4 linked regions of the Drosophila melanogaster genome follow. The protein of the gene in region 1 interacts with the protein of each later gene in a pairwise test. Each region holds a gene or a part of one and is shown in the gene's direction. Other genes may lie near its edges. The genes, in order: Usp8, CG3713, Cen and CG10510.

Region 1 (6,217 bases):
AAAACCGCACTCTGATTGCATAAGTTGATTACTATTAGGGATGTAGTTACTAACTGTTACAAAACCAAAAGGTGATCCCCATAGTGGAGTTAACCGCTCGGCGTAAGGATAAGAGTTAAGTTTATATTGTTATGTATCGGAATAATAAAAATTGAACGCGGTGCTTGTGGCGCGAGCAACAAAGTTTTGATACATTTTGAGATGCACCAGAATTTACACTCATATTCATAACTTTTCATTTTTTAAAGCTTTTATTTACGTTACACAGGCACCTAACTTCTCAGACTTATTCTCATCATTCTCTAGCCATTTCTTCAACATTTCCTCATCGTGAATAACGCGAATGCCTTCATATTTTATGTTCACTTGGCTCGTTTTCTGCAGAATGTCCTGATAGGCGGCCGTCAAGGGTTGCTGCACTGGCTCTTTATACACATAGTTCTCGCCCTAAAACAAAACATTTTAGTGGTTTAAACCAAACGAAGATATAGTATTAACATACCAAATCGTATGTGCGATCCGAGTCCAACTCGCCCTTGTAGGCAACAAAGGGAACTTGAACCACGGGCGGGCTCTCCTTCTTTCTGCCCACCCACGACTCGGGTTGATCGTGCCATTCGGTCGTCAGGTTGCAAGGCTTGTAGCCATCGGGCAGACAAAACTCTCGGGCCACCACGAAGGCTTCAATGCTGGAGTTGCGCGAGGCGGAGGGCTTGAACACGCATACGTTCTTAAAGAACCGCTTGAGCTGAGTGTACAACCGACTGGTCCTGTCTGCCCGGTAGATCTTGGACACGAAGGAGCCTCCCTCTTCCAGTATGAAGGTGGATATGCTGAGGGCGGAGAGAAGTAGTTCGCCCTGAACGTACGAGTCAAAGTCGTGCATTCCAGTAGAATCGGGAGCGCCATCGCTAACAACAATCTGTGCCTTCTCGCCGCCAAAGAACTCAATTATGGCCTCGGCTGTCGACTCCTTGCTGATGTCCGCCCGCAGTTGTTTGACTCCTTCGATCGGAGCCATTCCCTGCAGGTCTACGGCGATGATCTTTACCTTTTCCCGTTCCTCTGGCGGCAGAGGCTCGTACAAGCGTTTGGCCAGCACCTGTGACCAGCTGCCAGGAGCGGCGCAAAGGTCCACGGCTCGGGTGAGACCTGAAATAAGTGGACAATTAGAATCGCTCCGAAAAACACGCGGTTGGATCTGCACCTTCTAGCAACTGAAAGGTCTCATCCGCCTGGAGCAGTTTGAAAGCACTTCGTGCACGCCATCCCTGCTCCTTGGCCAGGCGGTAGAATATGTCTCGTTTATCCTTCGAAGTCCTGCCCATTTAAAAATAATAAAAACAAAAGGGTATCAGCTGTGATACGACATCTACAGTGCTGTCGTTTTAGCCGTTTTCCCTTCAACTTTGGGAGTTTATTGGTATTAAAAACATTAAAAAGTTTGCAAGTGTGAGCTCGAATTTATAGTTTTAAAATATATATCATTCATTTTGTGTTAAAATATAATTTTATATTTAAATGGTAGATTAGGAAAAAGAATCAATTTTGTTTCCAAATCCATAGAAATAGCTACAAAATGTAGTTTAGCTTTAATCTTCATAATATTGAGTTACATATTCATTATATTTGAATTTGTTTATTTGAAATAAAACACGTACAGCTAAAATACATATCTAGTTGGATTTTCAATATTAATAGCTAAATGGCTAAATTTGCACAATCTAAATTTGCACTTCTGACAGCGCCATCCTATTTCTTTGTTATCGATAAATTTCATGCAAAATAACAAATGATTGTGTTGTTGCAGCCCAGCCCGCAGATTGAGAAATTCCTGCTATGAGAACAGGAAAATCGGCGAGATCCCGATTCCCAAATTCAACGTAGCCCGCCCCGACAACAAAAAACGAATAATGGCCAAGTTGAAGAAACTGCATATGAGCTCCAACCTTGATGACCTGGAGAAGATGTCCATCATTCCGGATCTGCGCAGCAAGGGCATGAAAATGTAAGTGGACACCGCGATTTGGTGCTGATGCGGCTGTTTTGATTTACCTGGCATTCTTCGCAGCCTACTGAACACCGCCCGCAAACTGTACATGACCGCCGAGGAGTACAGACTGGATGGCGACGAGGAACTGGCCTACATCACCTACATGAAGTACTTCAATATGCTGACCGCAATTCACAAAAAATCCGATTACCCCAGCCACAAGACGACGGTGCGCCAGATGCTGGGCGACACCGAGTCGAATCGCCGCATTATGGACACGCTGGAGGAGATTATCAACTCTCTGCGGCATCGTTATGCTCAGCAGCACCAAGCGCCGGAACCAATTGCTCCCGACCTGGTTAGCAATGGGCGTGCGGGTGTGGACTCGCCGATAACACAGCCAACGCAGTACGCCCGACTTGGGCTGATAACCTGTCAGGATCTGTATCGGCGCATGCAGGAGAAATCGGTCCTAGTTATGGACTGTCGCCCAAGCGCCGACTACGAGGCCTCCCACCTCACGTACTACTGTGCATTTAATGTGCCCGAGGAGTTGATAACGCCAGGGTGAGTTGTCCATTATAATAATCTCGCTATTTGGATACTAACTTATTGGATTTACACAGAATGTCGGCTGGCAGATTGCAGGCTCGTCTTAGCAGCAGCGCCAAGGCGTCGTGGGCATCGCGTTCCGTCAAGGATTCGGTGGTTCTTATGGACTGGAACACCAAAGATGCCCAACCGGCGACCAACACAGCCATTTCAACCCTTCTGGACATCCTGAAGAACGTGAGTATGGGTGGTATTTAGCCATAGATTACATATAATCATTATTTTCTGGTAGTGGGATCCGGATGTGACGTATCGCGCACCCATTCAAATTGTCGAGGGCGGTTATGAGTACTTCATTATGATGTACCCGACCCATTGCACTAATCCCAGTGTGCAGGCGCCGCAGCAGAACAACAACGACATTGAGACCATCGATGATATCGAGTATCCCTCAATCCACGACATCACCATGAAGGAGGATATTAGTGCGAAGGACTTCAGACCGCGTCCAGACTTCAATCGGGCCAACAAGCCAGCGGCCACTCGCGTTAATGAACAGGGAATTTCCCGTCCTTCTCCGCCGGCTAAGCCCATTGCTGAGATCATGCGTGATCAGGCCGAGTTTTTGCAGCGCGCAGAGCAGAACGATGAGCAGTTGGAGAAGGCCTCAAAAATGTGGAAGCGTCAAGCAGCAGAGGGCGATGGTTTGAATGCTACCGAGGACCAGGAGTTGCACTTCAGGATCCTACAGTTGGAGAGCAAGGCCCAGGACTATGTAAGATCTATAAATTACCTTATAAGGTTCGATTAATTGTTCGTTTGTGTCGTAGATCGTGGAAAACAATCGTCTGCGAGAAGAACTAAGTCGCATACAAGAGCTACACAATGTTACGCAGCAGTTGTCGCAAAAGGAGGTCGAGGCAACGAGGAATATAGAATCCAAGATCCGCGAACGACAGCGCTTGGACGAGCAGCATGAACTTGAACGTCAAGAGCGGGAGCGCCTTTTGGCGATCGCTCGCGAGACAAAAAAGCATTACAAGTCACCAACACCTTCGGGCCCGCCTTCGCCGGGCAGGAACTTGGAGGACGTACATGTCGTGTCAGACAGCCTGGAATCCCTGCTCCAGTTGACTGGCGATCCGGATCCGACAATTGCGCCAAACAAGGCGGAAATACCAACATTCGATCGGGCGATGAAACCGCAGCCGAGGAATGTGGAGAGGACATCGCAACGCGTTCGTGATTTCTCGCCTGTCATTGGTCAGAATGTGGTAAGTATTGCTTGGGTAGTGGTGGTTGACTCACTGGCCACATAAATATAGCCGCGACACGAGTCAAATCAATAGCCAGCGGGTCACGTTTTGAAGACACCCGCCCAGACGTGCGCCGTTCTTGGTGCGCTTTCTACCCCCACTCTCAGTCGCTCGACGTCCGCACTCAAAGCATGTTCAAACCAAAGAAACGTACAATTGCCATACTGTTAAGCAGGAATAGCATTATACAGGATTCCGCGAATGATTTGTGTAGCGGGCGTGAGGCTCCAGCTGCCAACAGCTCCGCCCACCTACAGCATTTATAGCTCCATCTTTCCGCTGAGACGAGTAATAGCTATAGATTTTATTTTCCTCTATCTCCGAATAGTTAACTATATCCTTGGATAACATTTCAGGGTCGTGGACTGACTGGACTGAAGAATCTGGGCAACACCTGCTATATGAACAGCATACTGCAGTGCCTGAGCAACACGCCTCAGTTGACCGAGTACTGCATTTCGGACAAATACAAGAATTACATCAGCAGAAGCAACAAGACTAATGGCCAGGTGATCGAAGAGGTGGCTGCACTCATCAAGGAGCTCTGGAATGGACAGTACAAGTGTGTGGCCAGCCGAGATTTGAGGGTATGCAACTGAAAAAAAAAAAACACCCAAATTTCTTTCTAAACTAAACATACTTCATTGCAGTACGTTGTGGGCCAGTACCAGAAGATCTTCCGCGGCGTTGACCAGCAGGACTCACACGAATTCCTCACCATCCTGATGGACTGGCTGCACTCGGATCTCCAGACCCTACATGTGCCCCGTCAGCGGGAGATGATCAGTGCGTCGGAAAAGGCTTGGCTGGAATTTACCAAGGCGAAGGAGAGCATGATTCTGCATTTATTCTATGGCCAAATGAAGAGCACTGTGAAATGTGTGGCCTGCCACAAGGAGTCCGCCACGTACGAGAGTTTTTCTAATCTCAGCCTGGAGCTGCCGCCAAACTCGAATGTATGTCAGCTGAACCAGTGCATGGACATGTACTTCAGTGGAGAAAGGATCCATGGCTGGAATTGTCCTAGTTGTAAAACGAAAAGAGATGCCATCAAGAAGCTGGATATATCGAAGCTGCCACCTGTGCTGGTGGTGCATCTTAAGCGGTAAGTGATGCTAACACTATGCTATGCTTGTTTATAATTTCTTAAATCCCGCATAGCTTCTATGCGGATCCCAGTAACTCTGGCTCGTACATGAAGAAGCAGAACTACTTGCGCTTCCCGCTCGAGAACTTGGACATGAATCCCTACATAGCACGGGCGGAATCGCGGGCGGTAACACCTAAGACCTACCAGCTGTACGCCGTATCCAATCACTACGGCACCATGGAAGGCGGGCACTACACGGCATTTTGCAAGAGCGCCAACTACGGAAAATGGTTCAAGTTCGACGATCAGGTCGTCTCGGCGTTGGACTCCTCTAACGTGGTTTCTAGCGCTGCATACATTCTTTTCTACACCTGGCTGCCACCCATGCAGGTGCCTCTGTAGACGCTTCGCTCGGTTTCCTTTCGGTTTTTACCCCTTTCGTTTTAATTGTTTTTTGTTTTTCTCTCATATTATAGCTTTTAAGGTCTAGTCGCCACACCCTTTTATCATTTACAAATTACCGCTTAACTGTTAACTGCTATTTAAGAGGATAATCGCTTGTTTGTTGTTGTCTAGGCTCTTAGAACAGTATTACGCGTGGGCGTATTTTCAATGGGTGCAGGCTGCATTCACTAAAACCAAGAACTTCAAGTGCATTACCAGTGTAACAAAGAGAAGCCCGCATATACGCCTGTGTATGCGGGACTATAGTTTATTGTATTTTGCAAATATATTTTAAAACCAAATAAACGAAATTCAATTTCTGATACAAAGAATTTCTTTGAAAGAATCATGCGTAGGGTTTTTAGAAAACAAATTGGGGAGAGCGGGTATTTTACACTCAACAAATAATATAAAAAAGGGGGTGAAAGTTATTTTACCATTGCAAAGAAAAATTCAGCTAATTTTCGCGCCGAAAAGTTCAATTCGAGATATCCGATAAGTAAATATATTCACTTCCAACTAACGGTCACACTGTAAAACGCCCCCGCTCTTTAGCAAATGCAGTGTTGCCAACTCTTGCTTTCAATAAATAGCTAGTTAGTTGATTTATCAATTATTACATTTATAGTGTTTTATGTATGCCCTATTTTTCATTTATAAAGAGTTATGATTTAAACTTATTAAATAAGATGATGAAATTGATGATTCAAAAGAAGAACATAGCTATAACAGTGCACCTAAAAAATGGCCAAAAATACAGGTGCTTGCAATCACTTAATCTAATCTGGCTAGTAGCCAGCTAAAGCGGCAGCACCGACCACG
Region 2 (3,213 bases), on another chromosome or scaffold:
CTTTTGCTAAGACATTAAGCATACGCAGAGTAACAAAAACATGTAGTCCTTGCTGGACCTGATTTTTCTCACTGCATGCATGTGGGGGATAGGTTAAAGAGAAAATGGAAATTGCGGGAATGGGAATGGTGAATGGTGAATGGGAGAGGGGAAACGCGCAGTGCAGTGCCGTGGGGCAAACTCAATGCCGGCCCAGGCCTCCCATGTGTGTTTGTGGCAAGTTAATGACACACCTTAACCCATGTTAACCTAGTTTTTCATGTTGTGGTTATTCTTGTCGTGCTTGTTCTTCTTTCCACTTGACCCAAAGCCCAAAAAAAAAAAAGGAGAGTGGTGTGGAGAGGATGTCGGTGCGTATGGGCCTGGCCTTCATGCGGTTGACATGAATTTGACTGTGGCATGATTGGCCTACTTTCTGTCTTTTGCTTGCGCTCTAGGCTTTTTCGCATAAATAAGCTATTTGTGACCAATTTGCATTTTCCGCGTTATATTTCTTAACTGACACAATAAAAAGTTCGAAAGGCGAATGACGGCAGAATAGGAAGAGCTATAGCAAAATCCAACATATAAACAAACAATGCCCAAAGGGCAGCATAGATCTAGGGTAAGATCAGCATAAGAAAAAAATGGAAAAATGGACCGAGTGCGTTTAATTAGTCACATTCCGACATCATAATACCTTTAATAAAGCAACCAACTTAATATTAACAAATGGGGACCATAAAGTGTGAAATGTGGAGCGGGAGTCCTCAAAGGACCTGCGGATGGCAAGCAATGGCCTTCATTTATTTTCCTCAGCCGCAGCTGCTGCTTCTTTCTCAGCTTGTTAAGCATAATTAAAATCACAGAGCGGGATGGAGAGAGGCGCAGAGAGCCAGGGAGGAGAGGGACAGAGCTAGTGAGTAAGTGTGATTAAAAGATTGCAAATTTCTCACTCTTATTCATTTTTTTTAAGCTCTTCTTTCTGGCCAAATTGAATTTTTCGTTGCAGCAGACAGCGAGTGAGTGAGTAGGACAGAGCAGAAATGCATTGAACTGATCAGGGTAGTAACAGCACCATGTAGAATCGAAACTTTATTCACGTTAAATCCCCAATTATGTTGGTCTAAATAATGCTTGGTATTAAATAGTAGTATTCCCTGCAGAGGGCTCAAAAGTGTTTTTTTTTTTTGTTTTTGTGGAACGGAAGCCACCTCGCAATTCGACTTTAATGAGTAAACAGGGCGTGCAGACGCTATGCAAATGCTTTAGTCCCATTGAATTTGATGGCCGCGCATAAATGTAATTATAATGTGCATTCTATACAGCAACAAACATAAATGCATAAGTGCATAAATGCGCGCGCGTGTGTGTGTGGACAGTGGATTACGTAATGCCGATGCAGTGAATACGATATAATGTGCTATGCATAATGCATGATCGCACTCCTTAATCAACGCCAAACAAGCGACATTTAATTTTAATTTTAATTAATTTTGTCATTTGCTTTTTACACCGATGACGATGGATTTACCGGAAAACGAGCGAGTCTGTAATCCATCCATTTTCGAATTCTGCTGTGGACGCAGCTGTGCTGTGGATTGTGGGGCGTGGGGCTTGGAGCGCGGATTTGTGAACGCGTGGATGCCTGGGGCTGTAGAAGTAGTAGGGTAGTATAGTAGTAGGTGGGCCTCCGATATCGTCAGTGCTGCGAAATCAGCTGTCGGGCGAGCACCGCATAATCAGAGGTGGGGATGTTTCTGGGCTTCTTGGTGGATCTGCTGTACTGCCGACGCTGCGGGGACGACTGTATGATGGAATTCCCATCGACTTCCGCGAATGAAGAAGCAGCGCCGAAAGTGGTAAAGGTCGAACTGCCGCCGCTGCCGCCACTGACCTTTGAACTCATCCGCAATCCATTGGCTGCCGACCAGGAGTGCGATGATAGCTTCGAAGGCTTCGTCGATGGTTATGATGATCCCAGGCTGCCGGAAACCATCATCTGATTCAAAAAAAGCTTGCCACTCACTGGCATTCCGCACTCCGCTTCATTTGGTTTAATTAAAACTCTTTTTGCCATAATCCAATTAAGACCAAAGGCAAAAACCAAATGACAACAAATGGCATAATGGCCAGACAACAAAACAGACGGCAAAAAATAGAAAAACTCGACAAACTCAAACAAAGCTCCGCACAAAGCAAAAAAAAAAAAACTGAACAAAACAAAATGCAAACAAACAATGCAATAAAATTCAATTACAACAAAATTTTAATTAACTTTTTGCAATCAAAACACAAACCAAATGAGGAGACAACTGGCATCCGAATTGAAAGCCAATAAAAATGGGCGTAATAACCTAACCAATCTACAGGTCATCGATGGACAGGAGAGGGTTAAACGAATCTGACAAAGGCTGTGTACGTTAGCTTCAAATGGGATAGGATTACTTGAGTGTATCATGTTATGTGTGCAAAAGTTTAAAAATGTATATGCACGCACATATGGTAAATGTTTGGATTCGATTGGGAGCACCAAAGAACCAGGCACAGTTTTCCAAACAATAGAAACTACTCGTAGTCGTGTGCCAACTATCGGATACCTTATAGTCTGTATTAAAGTTTGTTATTGACTTATTTACTCTACGAGTACTGATGGAAATGAGTATAAATATGAAAATATTGTTTGTAAACTGTTAAAATGTTTTATTTCGTTTTGTGGGGCGGTAGGTCGCATTACGTATACGACGCGCAGACCACAGAGTAATACGTTTCTAAAGCAAGTTTGCAGTTGCACTGTTTCATTGTTGACCTATCAATTGGGCTCTTCTTCCGGTCGTAGCATACAGTCAGTGTGAACTCGTTTCTTCCAAAGCAATTCCGAGTCGGATAAGACACAGCTACTGCAGCCCATCAAGATCTGCTTCCATGCTCCTTGCAGCATTGTCCACCCACCCTTTAAGACCTCCTATATATTCACATCTGTATCGCAATCGCGAGAAAGACAACTTTTAGTGCGACATTCGCTGGAAACTTTCAGCAGAGCGGCAAACGACACCTAAACCGACTAATGGGCAAAGTCACCTCCTTTGGCAGTAGTGGCTTCGGGGGTTTACTTCACCCATTGTGAGCCATTTGTTTGCTGGAATTGCATTCGTGGCTGCGAAATAACATTTTCCGTTTCCGTTCTTGTTGCGACTGCGTGCCACATTTGTAAAACTTGTGTGTTTAAGTCTG
Region 3 (5,116 bases), on another chromosome or scaffold:
AACCAAACCGTATTTACATAAATGTATACAAAACAAATCGTATATTTTCATTGGTTTGAAATAAATACATAAAACAATTTAACTTGTTTTACTTGATATTTTAGGTGTCTGGGAATTGAAAGCTGCATTAAAATGTTTTGTCTGTTCTGCTTTGTAAAGATTATTTGTTTTTTCTATTACAAGTGTCTTAACCAAAGACATTTGGTTAACTTCTGAGAATCATAATTACTTATAAGTTAAATTCCAATTGGCAGTCTTATATATCAAACGTAAACTGACAGGAACGACGTAATGTTGTGCCTGCAGACAGGACAGCGGTCTTCTAAAAGGAGCACGAGCTGCAGGGAGCACTCTTTGCAGAGGCAGAGGTGCCGGCATGGCATGACTACTACGTTCCTGCTTTGAGCCATGCACACGACACAGCGTTCTGGACTCGCGGATCCTGCGTTCTCTGACACATACCAAACATTGTGTATGAAGTGTTGCAATTTATGATGGGTCCATAGGTAAACGCTTTGCGTCTTCGTCGAGATTTCAATGCGTCCACGTTGCAGCAGGTAGATGAGCATCAGGTACACATAGCGGCGGAACATATAGAGAACGAGGAGCAGGGCCAATCCTATCGAGGCCCGGAACGCACTGTTCAGCAAGCTCAAGCCATGGGCCACGATTGAGTGCACCACAAAGTCTAGGAGGCAGTCCCAGAGGAATAGTATGGCCCTCGGCAGCAGCATCAGCAGCCACAAGATGCCATCACCCAGATCGATGAGTAAGTTGCAGATGAATCGGGATATGCAGTGACCAAAATCGAGTACATTCTTGAGCCCGCCTTTGGTGCCGCCGTAGAAGTAGTCCGCCACATCTAGCGTGATGAGGCCCAAGTCGCGGATGCCCTCGTTGATATTCCTGACCGCGCATCTCAACAGATTCCATCCTTTCCTGCTGCCCTCCACCAAACAGAAGCCGACGAGGTAGCTGCCCCACAGGAAGTAGTACACGCCAGTAATCACTGCATCAATCACGCTGGCCAGCGGACGCAGCAGGACCAGATCCACAAGCTCCGCTGCCCGAATTAGAGCGTCCAGCATGGCGGGGGGCTCATACTGTCCTCGAATTAAGAAAAGGAAGAAACACAAAATCAAAACAAGAACGCCGGCCGCTTAGTGTGACCAGGCGGTGGTTGGTAATTAAAGCCAAGCTATCGTTGCGATAAGGTAGCGTCAAATAATTACTTATCTTAAATATTTGTATAATTAATATATATATTTATTTTTAACACCCCACACATTATCGGTTGCACTTCCTAGATATATTTAAACTTAGATGGTATCTGAACTTTAAATACGCCAAATTCTAGGGTAACTTAAATTAATAATGTTCAAACAAATATTTTGCTTCTGTGAGCAAAGGAATTACTAAGGAGACATAACAATTTGGATTTATTAATTTTGACAACTATAAATATGCGTAATAATTAATATGGGTATTCATGTACTGATCTATTATGATATTGCATGCTTCTTTCAAAGACAATGAAAGCTCAAAAATATAATTATACATCCGTGCATTTTGCTGGTATTTCAGAATCCAACAAGGTTTCCCCAAACAACTCGCGAGGGGTTATATAAGAAAGGCGAGCTTAAATCATAGCCCTATCTGAGCAGGAATCCCCCTAATGCGAATAATCCTATTATAAATTTATTTCCGGTTCTGCTAGGAAGTTCATTTCGGTTCTTTGTCTGCAGGTCGATTGTGTATAATAAAAAGCATTAATTAACTATTCGTACATGCAGTTGCGCCCTAGTACGTAGGGCTTTTTCTGCACTCGCTGCAATACCATACTTTTTGTTTTTGGGGATGAAACAGTAAAAAAGTTACTGTTGTAGCAGTTTTCCACCATTGAGAGGACATTTGCCAAGTAATTACTGTTTGAGTTTTGCTTTGCTCACAAAGCTCTGCTGCTAAATGAACTAAAATCGATTAAATCTTTAAATTTTCGCCAGAGTTCGCATCAAGCCCAAGCTTAGAAAGGTCCAAGTCCAAGATGGAGGAATCCAATCACGGTTCGGCTGGCTGTGAAAACGTATCGCAGTTCATGCTCGATGACCTACAATTGGCAGCAGAGCTGGGAAAAACGCTCCTGGAACGCAATAAGGAGCTGGAAACCTTCATCAAGGAGTACAAGATTAAGGGGGATGAGCAGGAACTGGAGATCTTGCATCTGCGCAAGCACATTAATGCGATGACCGAGGTGAATGATTCACGGCTTAAGGTCTACGAGCAGCTGGAAGTGGGCATTCAGGATCTGGAGCGTGCCAATCAGCGGCTAAATCTGGAGAAGAATCGGGACAAGAAGCAGATTAAGACGCTGACCACCAACACGGAAGTCCTGGAAGCCCGCTGCGAGGAACTGAGTCAACTTCTGAGCGATGCTCGGCAATCCCTGAGCACCGAGCGGCGGAAGGTGGATCAGTACCAGCAGGAACGCTATAGGATGCAGCATTCGACCGAGGGTTCTGTGTCCAGTCACAGCATTCAATCGCTGTGCAAGGAGCAGAGTGTTGAGTTCTCCAAACTAGATGTTATGGCCATAGCGAACTCGACAGGATTGGAGGATATCTCCTTCAGTAATGCCACCATGTGCGAGAGGACCGCCGTTAAGGGTGAAGACAACGAGGAATTGGTAAAGCTGCTCAGCGAAATGGAGGTGTTAAAACGTGACTTCTTGGCCGAACAGCAGCGGTGCACCGAGCTGGAGGAGCAGTTGGTGACCATAATCCAAGACAACCAAGGTCTGCAGACACGTCTGCTGGAGAACAGTGCCAATGAGGGAACAATGTCGATGCACGAGGAGTTCAGCCTCCTGGACGACGTGAGACAAGGCCAAATGTGTAGTCGCTGCCTGAGGGATATTAACGAAAGCAACACCAATATGGATGATCAATCCTCCATTGCCCCAACCGAAGAAATCTACGAAGATGACGATCGCAGCATACTAAGCGAAAGCACCTCGAAATGCGATAATAGTGGTGCGGATTATAAGGAACGCTTCCGGATTCCCGAGGACCTCAATCCCAACTCTAGCGACAAACCAAATCCTTATCGGGACCTAGTCGAGAAATATGAAGCTCTGGTGGAGGTGAAGAGAACCTCGAATGCGGTCAAGAGCAACTTCACCAGCAATCCAGATGGGAAGACCATGACCGAGTCCAGTCAAGGCAAAAAATCAGAAACAATTGTTAACAGCTCAAAGGAATCTGACCTTATGTTGGATTCAACACGTAAGCGCACTCCAACCGAGTTTTCGGAATCAGAAACTACATCGTCGGGATTCTCGGATGAAACTAGCAACAAGTCTACGCAAACTGACGAGCGACCGAGTTACTTCCTTTGCTCAATAAGTAATGGAAACGATTGTAAATTCAGTATTTATGACGACGTCAGCCCCATTGAATCTCATTTCCGTAATCGCCCGGAGTACAGGGAACTCTTCAAGGAGATATTTGGAGTGCTCAAGAAGGCAGCTGATAATAACGAAGAAGACAAGCTTCCGTCCCTGCATGACGACGCACAGATTACAGAAAAATTACCCTTGGTGGCGGCCAAAGTACCCCCGGTAACACCCGAGAGGGAGGAATCTCCAGATGACTTCATTGACGACACACAGAGCGTCGTATCCTCAGTTATATCCAACCAGTCCATTGCAATGTCCGAGTGCGTTACCAAACTGGAGCGGAAGACAGCCAAAAAACACATCTTTGATGTCCGAAACCAACAAAACCAATCGTCCCTAACGCAATCCACTTTGTTAAACAGCTCCTCGAAGGAAACAACTGTCGGCGAACCGAATTATAAACCCATAAGGGAGAATGGCCAGATACTTACTCCACTCAAGCGCGAACCACTCGAATATCTAACCGTAGGTGTCGGAATCAAGAAGAAGAACCGACGAAAGCACCGAAACCAAAGCTCATCTGGAGATCGCATCGAATTGTTTAACTCCCGGGAATTTACTCCCAGGAACAGTCCTCTGGCCATGAACAACCGTGGTGGTGGACAAGGGAGCTCAAAGATGTGTACGGATACATTGAATGCTGAATTCGGACGCAGTAACCGCAGACGGACAACTCCATCCTCAAGCAACTGGAATGGCTCTCCCATGGTGATCTATAACAAGAATATGAATACTCCCCAAACTTCTCGGGGCCGAGTAATAGAGCTCAATGGCGTCGAGTTTTATCATAACACGGTATCGCAAGACTTACATAAACTTAAAAAGTTAGACTTATCCTACGCCGAAGTTTTGCGCCGGGCCGATGCCGGCGAACATGGACCCACAAGATCACATTCCCAGCGACAGCAACACAACGGAGCCAACATTCGCAAGAGTCATCATCATCAGTTTCGTCAAAAGTAAACTTGTTTAGAGAATGTAAATAAGCAATTAAACAGTGCATTCTAGCCATAGGGCATTCTACCATTTTTAAATTGTGTGTGCCATGCAGTCTAGTCCGCTTTTTCATGTATAGACAGTTAAATAACAATAACTAAATAACTATAATCGGAAATTTAATTTTATTTCAGCATGATAAAATAAATAATTTAATGACCTACAGAAATCTTACTCTTTCACGATATTCAGCCAAGTTTCAATAGGAATATATGTAGTTGCTTTACAAATTCAGATATAAAAAAGTAAACATTTATTGTTAACTTACAAAGTAAAGGCAAATAAAATATTCTTGCACTTTCATGATATGCCCGTCTAACTACTTTCCAGACTTCCGTTGGTAATGCCCAGTTTGCTAAGCAAACTTATTATATCGCTGTTCGTTCTCATGACAGCCATAACTTCCTGTTGCTGCTGCTGCATGACCCTTAGCCGATTCCGCTCCTCTATCTTGGCCAGCTGATTATTGTTGTTTATGGTCTTTGTGTCCACATCCAGCTTCAGCTCCGACTTAACGTGATACAACTCATCGCGTATTCCGTTCAACTTTCTTTCGCAATCGCGCACGTCCTTCTCCAAAATTTGAGTTTTAAGGTAGACGGTCTGAGCCAACTTATACCAGTCCGCCAGGCACTCTGCGATTTGTGCCACTGTCGGATTTACGTT
Region 4 (4,363 bases), on another chromosome or scaffold:
GCAAATGACCTCCCACCCAGGGCCATTCGAAAGCTCTTGGATTCAGGCCAAGGGTGGAGGCACATCCTAAAGCCGGCCGGTTGGTGGTGGACTGGATTGGAGTGGATTGGTTTGGGATTCTCCCCACATGTTGATGGTCCCTTGGGAGGACGGACAGGTAAAGGGTGAAGGAACCGCCTAAACCAAGGCACGTGCCAAGTAGCTGCCAAAAGGCGGACGCACAGTCGTCATTTTCATCGTCGTTTGACAGGCCATCTCTGCTCTGATTTTCGGAATGGAGAGGGTGGATGTCGACGAGGACGTCGTGAGGATGGAAAGCTCGTCTTCGGTTGAGTGGCCTCTTGAATTAACGTATGACAACGTATGTTGCTTAATTGCACATGGCTTTTTAAGCATAAGGGGTTAAGTTATATGTATATATGTATGATAGGCTAAGGAGATGTTAAAGACCCCGCTGGCATCCGACGACGCGGAAGTGACACAATTTATGCCGCTGAAACGAGGCCAATTGGAGTGGCTAAGGAGCACTAAGCTAAGTAGCCCATAGGGAACCACATGGTACCCACACGCTGGGTCTTTAGAGTTCAGTAAAATTGTTTTGCGTATCAGTAATAATAATTTAAATTTAAATTAAAACATTTTCTTCAAACATAAAACATTTTGAAAATTTTATGTTAGAAAGTTCTTTCGATTATAAGCTGAAGAAAAGTTAGCCAATATCCAATCCAAGCTTGTACTTCGTTCCATTGTGTGTTAAATGAATAATTTAAATTAGTACCGAGCTTGCGTCCTAAGAGTTTAAATACCAAAGGTGTTTCAAAACTAAGTTCTGCAAGCCACCGAACTAACGAATAATTTCCTTATCACTATAAGGCCAAACATGGCAAACACCACCTCAACCGGACGCCTACCACCCAATCATTTTAAAGTAAGCGACTTACGCCCCCAAGGCCCCCTACATACACCCACAACCACACACCCAACCATAATCCTTCGCCCACCGAAAGAGCCACCCCAAGCGACGTTGGCACGCAAATTTATCAGTTGCCCCCGTGGCAACCTATCAAATGGAACCCCTATATCCCACAACTGGCCACCACATCTCCCAGTACAGTCCGCATTTCACGACATTGTGGTTAATGGATGCATAAATATTTATGACGTCGGGCTGTGCACATGCAACTCACCAATTTCCAGTTGCTTGATCGTATTTGCAGTCCCAGCCGGGCGGCATTTTCTGATAGCCACCGGATTCGCTCATTTTCACCGCTCACGAATAGATACAGATGCAGATACAGTAACAATTGCACTTGCAGATGCGAGGCGCTTCGATGCCCAGTTAAACCGAACGACCGTCGTTTTATTATTTTCGTTTTCTGCCTGAATGTTTATGGACGTTTAAAGTCGCATTCGCAGCTTGTTTGCCGACTGTCTGCAACCCCGAAAAGTTGGCAGGCAGGAGTGCCCTTGCCACTTATCCTGCGCGGAGCTTTGTAGTTGCCTTTGTCGTCGGATGTTTCAGATTTGGGGGTTGTAACCACCCTCGATGGCAACCTCTCCTCGGCAGCAGAGTTATTTTTGTTTACAAGGCACTGCCTGCCGGGAAAAAGGACCGCAACACACAGATACACACGCTCACACACACACAGTTCGATGTGGCGTGCCGTTAGTAAGCAAGCCAGCCAGGCTTTAGCTACCCGGAAAGGAATCGTTTTTGGGGAATCCTGGAGTCGCGACGCTATAAACAACCTCGCGAGCCAAGCTTTGAGAGTCAACTGAGGAAATCAGTGGCGGGCGTTAAAGCTTCAGATGCTGTGCGAATAGTCGTTAAAAAAGCTGGTATCCAGTGTTGGAATTTGCCCGTCGAAAGCTGTGCGCCAAACTTCGATTCAGCTTTCAAACAGGCACACAATTCGAATTTAGCTCCCCCGTCAATTTTCCAAAAATTTCACCTTTGATTTACGCATTTAGTTCAGCTACAACTACACATCGGCAAAATGGCCGAAATCTTGGCACGCTTGACGCGTGTTTCGGAAAACTACCTCCAAGAACTGGAGGAGGAGCCGGAGCCACAAGGACCGCCCAAACTAACCAAGGCTCAGAAGAAGGCCGCCAAGAAAGAGGCCAAGCGACTGGCTATGATCGAGGAGAAGCGGCTCATCATGCGGGTGGGTTCAACTAACTTTCGCAGAGTTTTTATTAAGGATGAACCTAAGCAAATCCTTAATATTATTAATTTTTATAATAAAAATAATATATTAAGACTATATTAAAATTGTAAACGCATCATTTCTAATGTTGCGCCATGATCCTCTCAGGATGCCCTGATGCGCGAGCTGGAGATGGGCAAGCATATGGAGGAGAAAGGCAACGAGGAGTGGCACGAGATGTGCCGCGAAATCAAGATCAAGGAGCTAAACGAGGAGATGAGGGCTTGGGGCGAGCGCTCGGAACGTAACATTCAGGCCAAGAACGACCACATCAAGATGCTTCTGGACGACATGGCGCAGACGCAGGATCAGCACGTGCGTTGCTACAGCAAAACGGTGGAGCTGATTGATCACATTCGCGACTGCTTCCACGTGATGTTGGGCGGGGTGAAGAGCATGTATGACCAGCAGGCTGACGAGATGCTGAGGGATTACTATGAAGAGGTGCGCCGGCGCACCGAAGAGGTGGAAGCCATGAAAACGAACTCCGAGAACATAATCCATGCCACCAACATCACCACCCGGGATCAGCTGAAGGAGGATTACACTATCTACCTGGAGCAGCGCGACGATCGCGTGAATACGGAGATTGAGAACAGATTTAAGATTCGAGATCAGATTGTCCGCCGGATGACGCACATGCAGCAGCAACTGAACGACTTCGTGGAGTCGCTGAGGAGCACCGAACTGGATGCCCACAAGTACGAGAAGATCCACTGGCTGACGGAGCGGCAGGCGGCTTTCATGGAGGAGTCACGCAAGCTAAACGCCGAGGAGTCCAAGTACATCAACATGCAGGCGGAACTGCAGCGCGAAATGGTTCGCATGGATGCGGAGAACAACTCCACGCTCAACGATCTTCGCCTGGAGTTCCAGTACTTCACCAACGTGCGCAAGAAGATTGAGCTCAACCAGGAGATGGATCGCGAGATCACGCACGAGAAGTTGCGCATCCTGACCGGCGAGTGCTACGAGTTGACCAAGGTGAACCTTTGTCCCAAGCCCTATTACCCATTTCTAAATTGAAATATTATTCCAGCAAATGGAGAAGCACGTGAAAAGTGGGGAATTACTCTTGGCCCTGTCGATCACTTGCAGGAAACTGCAAACCGAATCGGAAAAGGTAATCCTCGGCGGCGAGGTATTCGACGAAACCGAGGTGGATGTCGATGAATACTTCAAGCTGCAGACTCTCAACCTGAAAGATCACGTGGACATGACCGAGGAGGAACTCGTGGAGCTAAACAAAAGTCTCAGGAACTTCTGGCGCCGCCAGGCGATGGCCGAAGCTCAAAACCTGCTGATGCTGGAGGAGAAGCGTCGCCTCACTGAGGACAATCAGCGCCTGATCGACTTTATCAAATCCATGAGTGTCACCGAGGATCCGGAAGAGCTGCGAACCGCCATGCATGTTTCATCGCCAACTCAACCCATGCCACCCAAACTTTTCGAGACAAAGTGCCAGGAATTCAAGTCCAGAAAGGTCGTGCATTCACCGACGGCACACAAGGAGGCCAAGTGGGAGGCCGAAGCCACTTTGAATGAGGTGATTCTGGACTTTTGAAAATATGTGGCATTCAAAGTTATGTTTAAATATAAAAATGAGCTCAATTAAATTGAATAATAGTTAAATTAATATATTTACCTTGTTTGCAATCGCAAGAAAAAATGCTATAAAGACAAATATTTGATTATCGAAGAGTATATTGTTTATTTTAATAGTTTTGAAATTGCTGAACACAGCATGGGTATCTCAAAGTGCCAAAATCAATATATTTTAAAACAGATAGTTTTTGTTTTAAACAGAAATTTAGCTGTACTTCTACTTATGTATATTATTTTGCAAACTGCAAGTCTTTACTCTACTAAATATTGCTAATTCCCTAAAAGAATGCCGAAGCTCATGTTTTTAGTTAATAAGAAAGCTTGCGTAGTTAAAAACTAAATAATAGGAGCAACGACAGACTCTTAGGAGACTAGAAATATGTTTTAAGTGCAACATGGAGATATGTAACTAGCTTTAGTTCAGCACCAGTGCAATCTAATCTAACTGTTGCAAATATCAATATTTCTCTCAGTGTAAAGTGTTACTGTAGTGCTTTGGTCCATCAAAATGCAGAGGCGTCTTCAACATATGGCAATGGGTATGCTTG

Evidence for each region.
Region 2: the proteins of Usp8 (region 1) and CG3713 interact in a two-hybrid assay, tested with the Drosophila melanogaster proteins (one large-scale study listed by BioGRID).
Region 3: the proteins of Usp8 (region 1) and Cen interact in a two-hybrid assay, tested with the Drosophila melanogaster proteins (one large-scale study listed by BioGRID).
Region 4: the proteins of Usp8 (region 1) and CG10510 interact in a two-hybrid assay, tested with the Drosophila melanogaster proteins (one large-scale study listed by BioGRID).

What each region holds. Positions count from the first base shown.
Region 1 is NT_033777.3:21,132,498-21,138,714, forward strand, and holds Usp8 (ubiquitin specific protease 8), read left to right. Parts: upstream 1-1,764; 5' UTR 1,765-1,913; coding exon 1,914-2,008; intron 2,009-2,071; coding exon 2,072-2,560; intron 2,561-2,619; coding exon 2,620-2,782; intron 2,783-2,837; coding exon 2,838-3,320; intron 3,321-3,375; coding exon 3,376-3,819; intron 3,820-3,984; exon of another isoform or gene 3,985-4,062; coding exon of another isoform or gene 4,063-4,149; intron 4,150-4,217; coding exon 4,218-4,448; intron 4,449-4,511; coding exon 4,512-4,966; intron 4,967-5,022; coding exon 5,023-5,353; 3' UTR 5,354-5,717; downstream 5,718-6,217. Other genes in the region: Ice2 (uncharacterized protein), read left to right, coding at 1-1; Trm7-34 (tRNA methyltransferase 7-34), read right to left, coding at 256-447, 503-1,152, 1,208-1,328.
Region 2 is NC_004354.4:845,624-848,836, reverse strand, and holds CG3713 (uncharacterized protein), read left to right. Parts: upstream 1-1,679; 5' UTR 1,680-1,733; coding exon 1,734-1,985; 3' UTR 1,986-2,666; downstream 2,667-3,213.
Region 3 is NT_033779.5:20,678,421-20,683,536, reverse strand, and holds Cen (centrocortin), read left to right. Parts: upstream 1-1,690; 5' UTR 1,691-1,918; exon of another isoform or gene 1,919-2,003; 5' UTR 2,004-2,044; coding exon 2,045-4,417; 3' UTR 4,418-4,616; downstream 4,617-5,116. Other genes in the region: CG2617 (uncharacterized protein), read right to left, coding at 264-1,088; IKKepsilon (I-kappaB kinase epsilon), read right to left, coding at 4,766-5,116.
Region 4 is NT_037436.4:21,207,629-21,211,991, reverse strand, and holds CG10510 (uncharacterized protein), read left to right. Parts: upstream 1-1,907; 5' UTR 1,908-1,997; coding exon 1,998-2,168; intron 2,169-2,318; coding exon 2,319-3,194; intron 3,195-3,249; coding exon 3,250-3,774; 3' UTR 3,775-3,844; downstream 3,845-4,363. Other genes in the region: CG10508 (uncharacterized protein), read right to left, coding at 1,188-1,261.